Arabidopsis thaliana: one gene and its partner. The protein of the gene in region 2 interacts with the protein of the main gene of each other region in a pairwise test. Each region holds a gene or a part of one and is shown on either strand. Other genes may lie near its edges.

The links.
Region 1: the proteins of DYT1 (region 2) and AMS interact in a two-hybrid assay, tested with the Arabidopsis thaliana proteins (one study listed by BioGRID).

What each region holds. Positions count from the first base shown.
Region 1 is NC_003071.7:7,329,706-7,334,754, reverse strand, and holds AMS (basic helix-loop-helix (bHLH) DNA-binding superfamily protein), read right to left. Parts: upstream 3,035-5,049; coding exon 2,934-3,034; intron 2,819-2,933; coding exon 2,651-2,818; intron 2,564-2,650; coding exon 2,491-2,563; intron 2,404-2,490; coding exon 2,335-2,403; intron 2,258-2,334; coding exon 1,643-2,257; intron 1,559-1,642; coding exon 1,304-1,558; intron 1,271-1,303; exon of another isoform or gene 1,201-1,270; coding exon 1,024-1,200; exon of another isoform or gene 945-1,023; intron 936-944; coding exon 678-935; 3' UTR 501-677; downstream 1-500. Other genes in the region: UBC23 (ubiquitin-conjugating enzyme 23), read left to right, coding at 1-196. UniProt on the Arabidopsis thaliana protein: Transcription factor. Plays a crucial role in tapetum development. Required for male fertility and pollen differentiation, especially during the post-meiotic transcriptional regulation of microspore development within the developing anther.
Region 2 is NC_003075.7:11,348,014-11,351,375, forward strand, and holds DYT1 (basic helix-loop-helix (bHLH) DNA-binding superfamily protein), read left to right. Parts: upstream 1-1,908; coding exon 1,909-2,088; intron 2,089-2,162; coding exon 2,163-2,360; intron 2,361-2,435; coding exon 2,436-2,681; downstream 2,682-3,362. UniProt on the Arabidopsis thaliana protein: Transcription factor. Involved in the control of tapetum development. Required for male fertility and pollen differentiation, especially during callose deposition.

The DNA of each region.
Region 1 (5,049 bases), on a different chromosome or scaffold from region 2:
ATGTGACGCCTACATGAAAGGATATCTCATAGGTTCCCTCACCAAAGATGCCTCGGTTATCGATGAACGCAGCAGCGCTAATTCAACTTCAGTTGGTTTTAAGCTTATGCTGGCTAAGATAGCACCAAAGCTTTTCTCAGCACTGAGCGAGGTAGGAGCTGACTGCAATGAATTCCAGCATCTGCAGCAGCAATAACACAATCCTAAAAGGAGCTGGATACACCGATCGTTGCCAATGAACCAAGTGAAGGTTTGCGGCTTCTTTACTATTACAAGTTTCAAATTCAGATATTTCTGAAACGTGTGTAGTAGAGTTTTTTTGGAGTTATACAAGAATTAAGCGATACTAAGTTGTAACCCCATCTGGTCGAACAATATCGACAAATGAATTTGTTTTGGTTGGTCATGTTTTGGGGCCTACTTAAAAGTTTTAGGGGTGCACTTCAACACCTGTTTCTTTTGTCATGGGTTGTCAAATTACTTTTCTAACAAAGATTATTTAAGTAAAGTTGTTTCGCTTTGGTTTATTCCTGGTATTGGATACAGGAACTGTTCTCGAACTGACATTCCTTTTATCCTTATATATCTTGAAATGAAAAGATCTTCAAAGTTTGTTGATGCAGAATGTTTCTTTTGCTTGTAAAGCAGACATCTTTATAGCTTTGGGGAATTGGTCCTTATTGGTTGTGGTAATGGTTGATGTGTTGGTGGTGGTGATGATGATGAGCGCTCTGATTCATCTGGTGATCAAATGGGTGATGATGACCATTGTGATGCTGGTGATCATCATAGTGTTGATAATCAACTTCGTTCTTTTCGTTTTGCATAGAGCCTGTAGCCATCTGATCATCTTGCCATCCTCTAGATGTGTTCCGGGTTATTTCCAGCAACGAGTTCCTTACGTGTTCAGCTTGGACCATCTCGTTATCATTTTTCTGTAACATGGGAAAACAGAAACATATAGTTTTTGTATATTTTGCTTTGGTTTTTGTTTCTCCATTCCGCAGGTCCTTTAGATCATACCTCGACTTTGAAGACATTGGAGACCAGGCTGAGGTAGCGAGTCGTGTTAGCATTTGTGACTTCTAGTCCAAGAGAATCCAGTGCCTCCATTAGCCTTGTGAAGCCTCCTGGTTTGTATTCGCAAATCACCTTTACGAAAAACTCTCTGCCATCTAACTGAGCCACGTCCACCTGTGGCTGAAACTCCGCAACCCAACATAAACCGATATCATGAGGTTTTGATTTTAGAGTTCAGATTAGAAGAAAGGTGAGAGTTAGTTTCTTGTTATGATGCTCTAACCTCCATTTCTTGTCCTTTATCATTGGAATTCTCAAGATCAACATCTTGCTTCACGCTAGGAACGTTGGAGTTACATGAAAGCCCCGGGTGAAACCCAGTGACCACTGTCCCGTTCAGGCTCATCCCTCCTTGTGGCCTATTAGATCCATCCTCAGTCTCTGAGTTCTCTTCAAGCTCGTCTTGAAGCTCCTTTGCCTCATTCTGCAACTCCTTAACGTAGTTGATTGCATCGCCAAGAATCGACGCCCTGTCCAACTTCCATGCCACAAAAACTAGTTTCAGAGAACGCATTATAACTCAGAAACCAAGAAGTAAACCCAGAGACGAAAACCAAGATACCTTGGTTATCCTGGGAACAAGCGACCGGAGAGCATAAAGCCTATCGTTTAGCTTCTTCCTCCTCCGTCTCTCAGCCATCAGGTTCTTGGCTTGAGATCCTTTTCCTGACTTCTTCTTGTACTTTGGATCATCTTCATCATCAATCTGGTCGCTGCAATCCGACCCTGAATCCACCCTACCGTTCTCATTCATATCCTTATCGTTAACAACTTGCTGTTCATTCACAAGCAAGCTAGGCTCTCCAATCACTGGAATCCCATCTTCTTCCACCGTGTTAAATGGGTTCATACCCATCATTTCCTTGTTACCATTCTCTGGGAGATACCCCAAGGCTTGATGATGATAATCACTCTTCATCTTCAAGTGTTGTGTCTCGTAATCACTCATCTGAGGCAAGAAATTGAGTCGGATCTGATCAGCAGAGATATCGTAAGACGAAGGGAGATTCATCATATCTTCTTCTTTGGAACCCTTTTGCTGGATGTCACCGGATAACATCCCGTACGGCTTCGATTCGACCTCGTCTGCTACCATCATGTTTATCGTTACAGAATCGTCCATCAACATGTTGCAATGTCCCATTACAAAATCCACCACGTTCTGATCTTCAGCGACCTATACGCGCACACATCATCACAAACAACCACAATACAAAAAACCATAAACTTAACATTATTGAGACATAAACATACATGTCTGGTCGCAAAGAGCTCCACTAGTCCTCCCGGTATAGGAATCAAAACCCTAGTACAGATTGTTTCCTACAGGATATAAGAAAAACCGAAAATTAATACTTCTTGTTCATGAGATTGTGATTACTCAAAACTCCAAGAATCGGGTAATAGTACCTGCATAAAACTTGGTTCTGAGCTCTCACTCAACCAACCAGTCTGGTTAGTCAGAAGAGTCTCCGCATATATCCTATAGCAAAATCCATATTTTTCCATCTCTAGGCGTTTCTTATGAAAGAATATATGTAGCTTGTATATATATTATAGATGATCATACCCGGAATCAAGAGGTATGGAAGCTGGAAGATGGGAAAGAAATTCACAAGATTTGGTCCGAGGATGATGAAACATAACATCCCTACAACCTCCGTAGCTAAACTCTTCTGTTCCATTCTCCGCTATGAGTTCTGTCCCACCACAACAACATCCCATCCACTTCACAAACCTGTCTCCTCCAAAACCACAATAACAAATATTTGTGACGAAAGAGAAAGAAAGATGGATAGATAGAGATAAAAACTCTTTAAAGCTTAACTACTTATTAAAAGAATCAAATCAACCTTTGGTCTTCGTTTAGTCTCCAAAGAACACAATAATCCCAAGCCCTTGCACCCACAAGAGGCCTCAATTTCTCCAACAAGTTTTGCATATTACTCTCCATTAATCTCTCAATATGATTACTGACAAAAGCACAAATCTATTGCGTCAATATTTAATGGATTTGTTAGTAACAAAAAAAAGAGATTAGAAACAATAACTAGAGGGGACAAAATGTATAATTTTTCATGATGATAGAGCTAAAATATCATGAGGAAAATATGCCAACAAGAACTTACACAAGATTCTCGGAAAAAACAAGGCTCCTCAAAAATCTTGTGACTGGTGAAAACTTGACAAGAGAAAGCCAAGAAATTGTACCAAAAGAAGACAAGAAATTGGAAGAAAGAAGAAGAAGAAGAATAATCAGTAATAGGTAGCAGCTAATTACTTCCATACAAGGTTGAGCTTTTTCGTGTAAAATAACGTCACCACAAAACTTTATTTATATATGTGTGAAAATATCTGAGTTATAATTTTTTTTCTTTCTTCTCTCTTATTAGGAGAGATTGTTTTTGGTAGGTTAAGTGCAGGACATGCATGACGATCATGTATATGTATGTATTTACTTTTATATTTTTTGTATAATATATGTGGAATGTAACTAAACACATTAGTATAAAAAGTATATATTATAAAAAGAATTAGAATGATGAAAGGGGCAGATTGCATGAGCTAAGATAACGTGTAAAACCCTAACTAACTTTGTTGAGAGCTTCTCTTCGTTGCGTTTAGGTTATTCATTCTTCTTTCGGTGTCTCAACTACTATTTATTTTCCCTTCTTTGTCATTTTCTTATTATTCGATTTTAGTTTTCCTTGATTCTTTAGTTCCGACGTAAAATATGTTATAGAGTGATAAAAATTTACAGAAATAATTGTGTGAAGACATATGCAAATATTTGAGTTGAGAATAAACGACAAATAAATATTGTTATGCGTAGCAACTAGCAAAAGCTGAGCTAGCTTTGTCTCCTAATAAATATCCATAGACCCAACTGTCCACCTTTCATGAAGCTGAAATTCATGATTACGTAACAAACCACTCCCATAGTCGGACGTAAGTTTCTTCATCTGAATACATATCTACACGCATGTTCCTCTTCAGTCTTCAATAGTTATATTATGTGCTTTGCATAGATCTACCCATGCACATTGATCAAGAGTTTAATGCTTGTATGATGGATTTTAAATTCGATTCCGGAAGAATCAAATTTTTAATAAGTAATAAACACATTTTAGGATATTTGATTAGTATGTTGTTGTTGTTGATTAGTAAATTCGACTTGCTTACCAAGCCTCTATGTATATCATCTGTAAAGAAAGACACTCTCTGCTACACAATCTCGTTATGGAGATTAAAAACATCATTCGGTGTCATTTAGATCCTTTGTCAAGAGCTCAAAGATTAGGCCTCCATGGAATCTCATTTCTAGCAACTTGCTTTGCTCTTTGTAATTCATAATGTGCTCTGTTTGCTTGTTATGTTGTAGGTGTTATTCATTATAGGAGGCAGGACTTTGTATTCGGTTTCTTGTTTAATGAAAGGTATATATTGGTTAAAAAAAAGTATGTTGCAGGTAGAATTACTTATTGTGGAACCAATATTTTTTTTTTTATAACTACAAATCTAATAATAGGAGAAGTGATATAAATCACTTTTCATAATAGAAGAAGAAAATAGATTATATTATTAGAATTATACTATCTATGAATTGTGAGTTTTAGGGTGGGTTTCTACCTCTTCAAACTCGATTGGTTGGAAAAGATAGTAGATTACATACCAGTTACATCCTAAAGTTTAGTATTGTTACAACACCACTCCAAATTTTTTATATGATTTTCTTCTGACATATTTACGGTATAAATAGTTGGAAAACAGAACTAAAATAAAGAATTTTATGACTCAGCTAGTACAATTTTTAATTATAAGCTTTGTTGGTAATTTTGATATCTTTTTTTTCTTAAAGAACATGTGTATTATAATATTCAATAAAATATCAATTTTATATCATTTGGAAGTTTAAGTGTTAAGGATGGCAAAAAAATATGTTGAGAATATATTTAAGCATATGTTATA
Region 2 (3,362 bases):
CGAAGCTTACACTGTGGCTAATGTATTCCCATGGATGCTCACAGTCGCTGCAACTAACATAGACCGTACCTTTTATGCAGACATGACTTTTGGAAATAACATTACCATAATTGTATGTGAAATGTTTTTTCAGGTCTTTTCACCATCGGGTTTCACTAGTCTTGGAAACTTACTCTTTTCCCTTAAAAACTGTTTCAGGGTCAAGCTCAATATACAGGTAAGGAAGTATCTGCTGGTTTAGTTTACATTGAACACTATAAAACCGACACCTCTAGCATGCTGGGAAAAGTTGTCCTGACGTTTGTGAAAGAAGATTGGGAAATGGCAAGCGCATTGGCGACTACAACTATCAACAAGGCGGCGGGGCTGATCGTGGCACGAAGTGGTGATTATCAAAGTGATATTGTCTATAATCAACCATTCATCTACGTAGACTATGAAGTCGGAGCTAAGATTCTACGATACATCCGCTCGTCAAGGTATACTATCCTTTATTTTATATTTTTTGTGATTGATCATCCTTCCGAGTCACATAGAGTATGTAAAACTGATCATCTTCTTATGGCTTGCGGTCTCTTCAGTTCTCCCACGATTAAAATTAGTACTGGTAAAACGCTCGTAGGACGTCCTATTGCGACTCAAGTTTGCGGATTCTCATCTAGAGGGCCTAATGGACTCTCTCCTGCCATTCTCAAGGTTCTTTCCCTAAACAGTGTTTCAAAATCTTGTCTGTCGTTTCCAATTTAAGGATCACCTGTTAATGATGGAAATTTCTTTGGGTTTATAAATGATGCAGCCTGATATAGCAGCCCCTGGTGTGACGATTTTAGGAGCTACATCTCAAGCCTACCCCGATTCTTTCGGCGGTTATTTTCTAGGCACAGGGACATCCTATGCCACTCCCGTTGTTGCGGGGCTCGTCGTACTACTCAAAGCTTTACACCCTGACTGGTCTCCTGCTGCGCTAAAATCTGCTATTATGACTACAGGTTCTTGAAAATGGAAAACCACTTTCTTCTCCTCACCAGAAAACCACCATTCGTTAATTTAATCTTACCAGAGTTTCTTCTCTTGTTATTATAGCATGGAAGACTGATCCATCCGGGGAACCAATCTTTGCGGAGGGAGAACCACGGAAACTGGCTGATCCATTTGACTACGGTGCAGGACTCGTGAACGCGGAAAGAGCCAAAGATCCAGGACTAGTTTATGACATGAACATCGACGATTACATTCACTATTTCTGCGCCACTGGTTACAACGATACATCAATCACTATAATCACGGGAAAACCCACAAAATGCTCGTCTCCATTACCGTCTATCCTCGATCTTAACTATCCCGCCATCACGATTCCCGACCTTGAAGAAGAAGTGACCGTCACAAGAACGGTGACTAACGTTGGACCTGTGGACTCAGTTTACAGAGCCGTGGTCGAGCCTCCGCGAGGTGTGGAGATTGTTGTTGAACCAGAGACTCTAGTGTTCTGTTCGAACACGAAGAAACTTGGGTTTAAAGTTAGGGTTTCGTCGAGTCATAAGAGTAACACTGGTTTTTTCTTTGGTAGTTTCACTTGGACTGATGGGACTCGAAATGTTACCATTCCTTTGTCTGTAAGGATTCGTGTTTTGAACCCTTGAATAAGAAGATTCCTCAATTCGTCATAAATTGTTTTTTCTCTCTATAATGAAAACAAAAATTGTTATTTTAGTCTCTGTATTTGACTCTAACTGAAATCACATTCACTTAATAACAAACTGAGACTAAGATTCTCTCTTTTATTCTCTCTCCACTAACAGACTTCTATCTACATGAGAAGCAACTATATAACTCATGTCTTTTACCACCATTACATAAATAAGAATATAAACACTTTTGTCTGAAAAATTATCAAAGAAGAAGAAATAAATGGGTGGAGGAAGCAGATTTCAAGAACCAGTGAGGATGAGCCGTAGGAAACAAGTAACAAAAGAGAAGGAAGAAGATGAAAACTTCAAATCTCCAAATCTTGAAGCAGAGAGACGTAGAAGAGAGAAGCTTCATTGTCGGCTTATGGCTCTGCGATCTCATGTCCCCATTGTCACCAACGTAAGTCCCAAATCTCGATTATTATTTTATGGGTATTTTGGTGATGATTGTTGTTGTTTTTGTTTCGTTTTCAGATGACTAAAGCAAGTATTGTTGAAGATGCGATTACTTACATAGGAGAGCTTCAAAACAATGTTAAGAATCTCTTAGAGACATTTCATGAAATGGAAGAAGCTCCTCCTGAGATTGATGAAGAACAAACGGATCCAATGATAAAACCTGAAGTTGAAACTAGTGATCTTAACGAAGAGATGAAGAAACTCGGAATCGAGGTTTTTAAAATTTCTCTAATCGATTTTTGATTCATTTTCTTTATCTTTCTTGATGATTTTTTATTTTTGGGACAGGAGAATGTGCAATTGTGTAAGATTGGGGAGAGGAAGTTTTGGTTAAAGATCATAACAGAGAAGAGAGATGGGATCTTTACTAAATTCATGGAGGTTATGAGATTTCTCGGATTCGAGATTATCGATATTAGTCTAACAACTTCAAATGGAGCAATTCTTATTAGTGCCTCTGTTCAGACACAGGAACTCTGTGATGTTGAACAGACAAAAGATTTTCTTTTGGAAGTTATGAGAAGCAATCCATAAGTATTAATTATATACATCTTGGAAATTTCTTGATCTAATAACATTTCCATTGGTTTTTATTACATTGTTGTTCCATTTTAAATATGATATGATTCAGATGAAAAAGAGTTTGTGTTACAAGCCAATGAGCTTCTTCTTGTCTTCATATATGTTGCTGCAAAATGTTCATGATCCTCTGTTTGAGGTCAAAGAAAGAAAACACTAGATATTATCTCTAGGATCCGAGCAATGGGGGTTTCTTTTTAAAATGGGCTTAGAATGAATTAGCTCTTAAATGGGCCATTCTCAAGTTGAGCCCATTTAATTTCAACCATCCAAATGGTGAGTAGTGAATAGTGATGTTCATTTGTGTAAGGTTGGAAGTTGGTAGAAACCTAAGTTTTTTTATTCAAATATCAAAACTATTCAATAGAGCCAAAATCAAAAGACATTTTCCTAACCTATTAACTATTTTTTTATAAAAATAATAATATACCTTTATCATCTCTGACTTTCCCTACTCCACGACATATTTGATTAACAATATAAAATAATTTATAGTTTCCACTCTCAATGAAATAAAACGATGGACCGTTTCCTCATGTCAAATGAATCAAATCAACAATCTCTATATAGTCTTAAGAATGTTGGTCTTAAAATTCTATTGAACTCAAATCGTATGAAAACAAGTTAAATTGTATA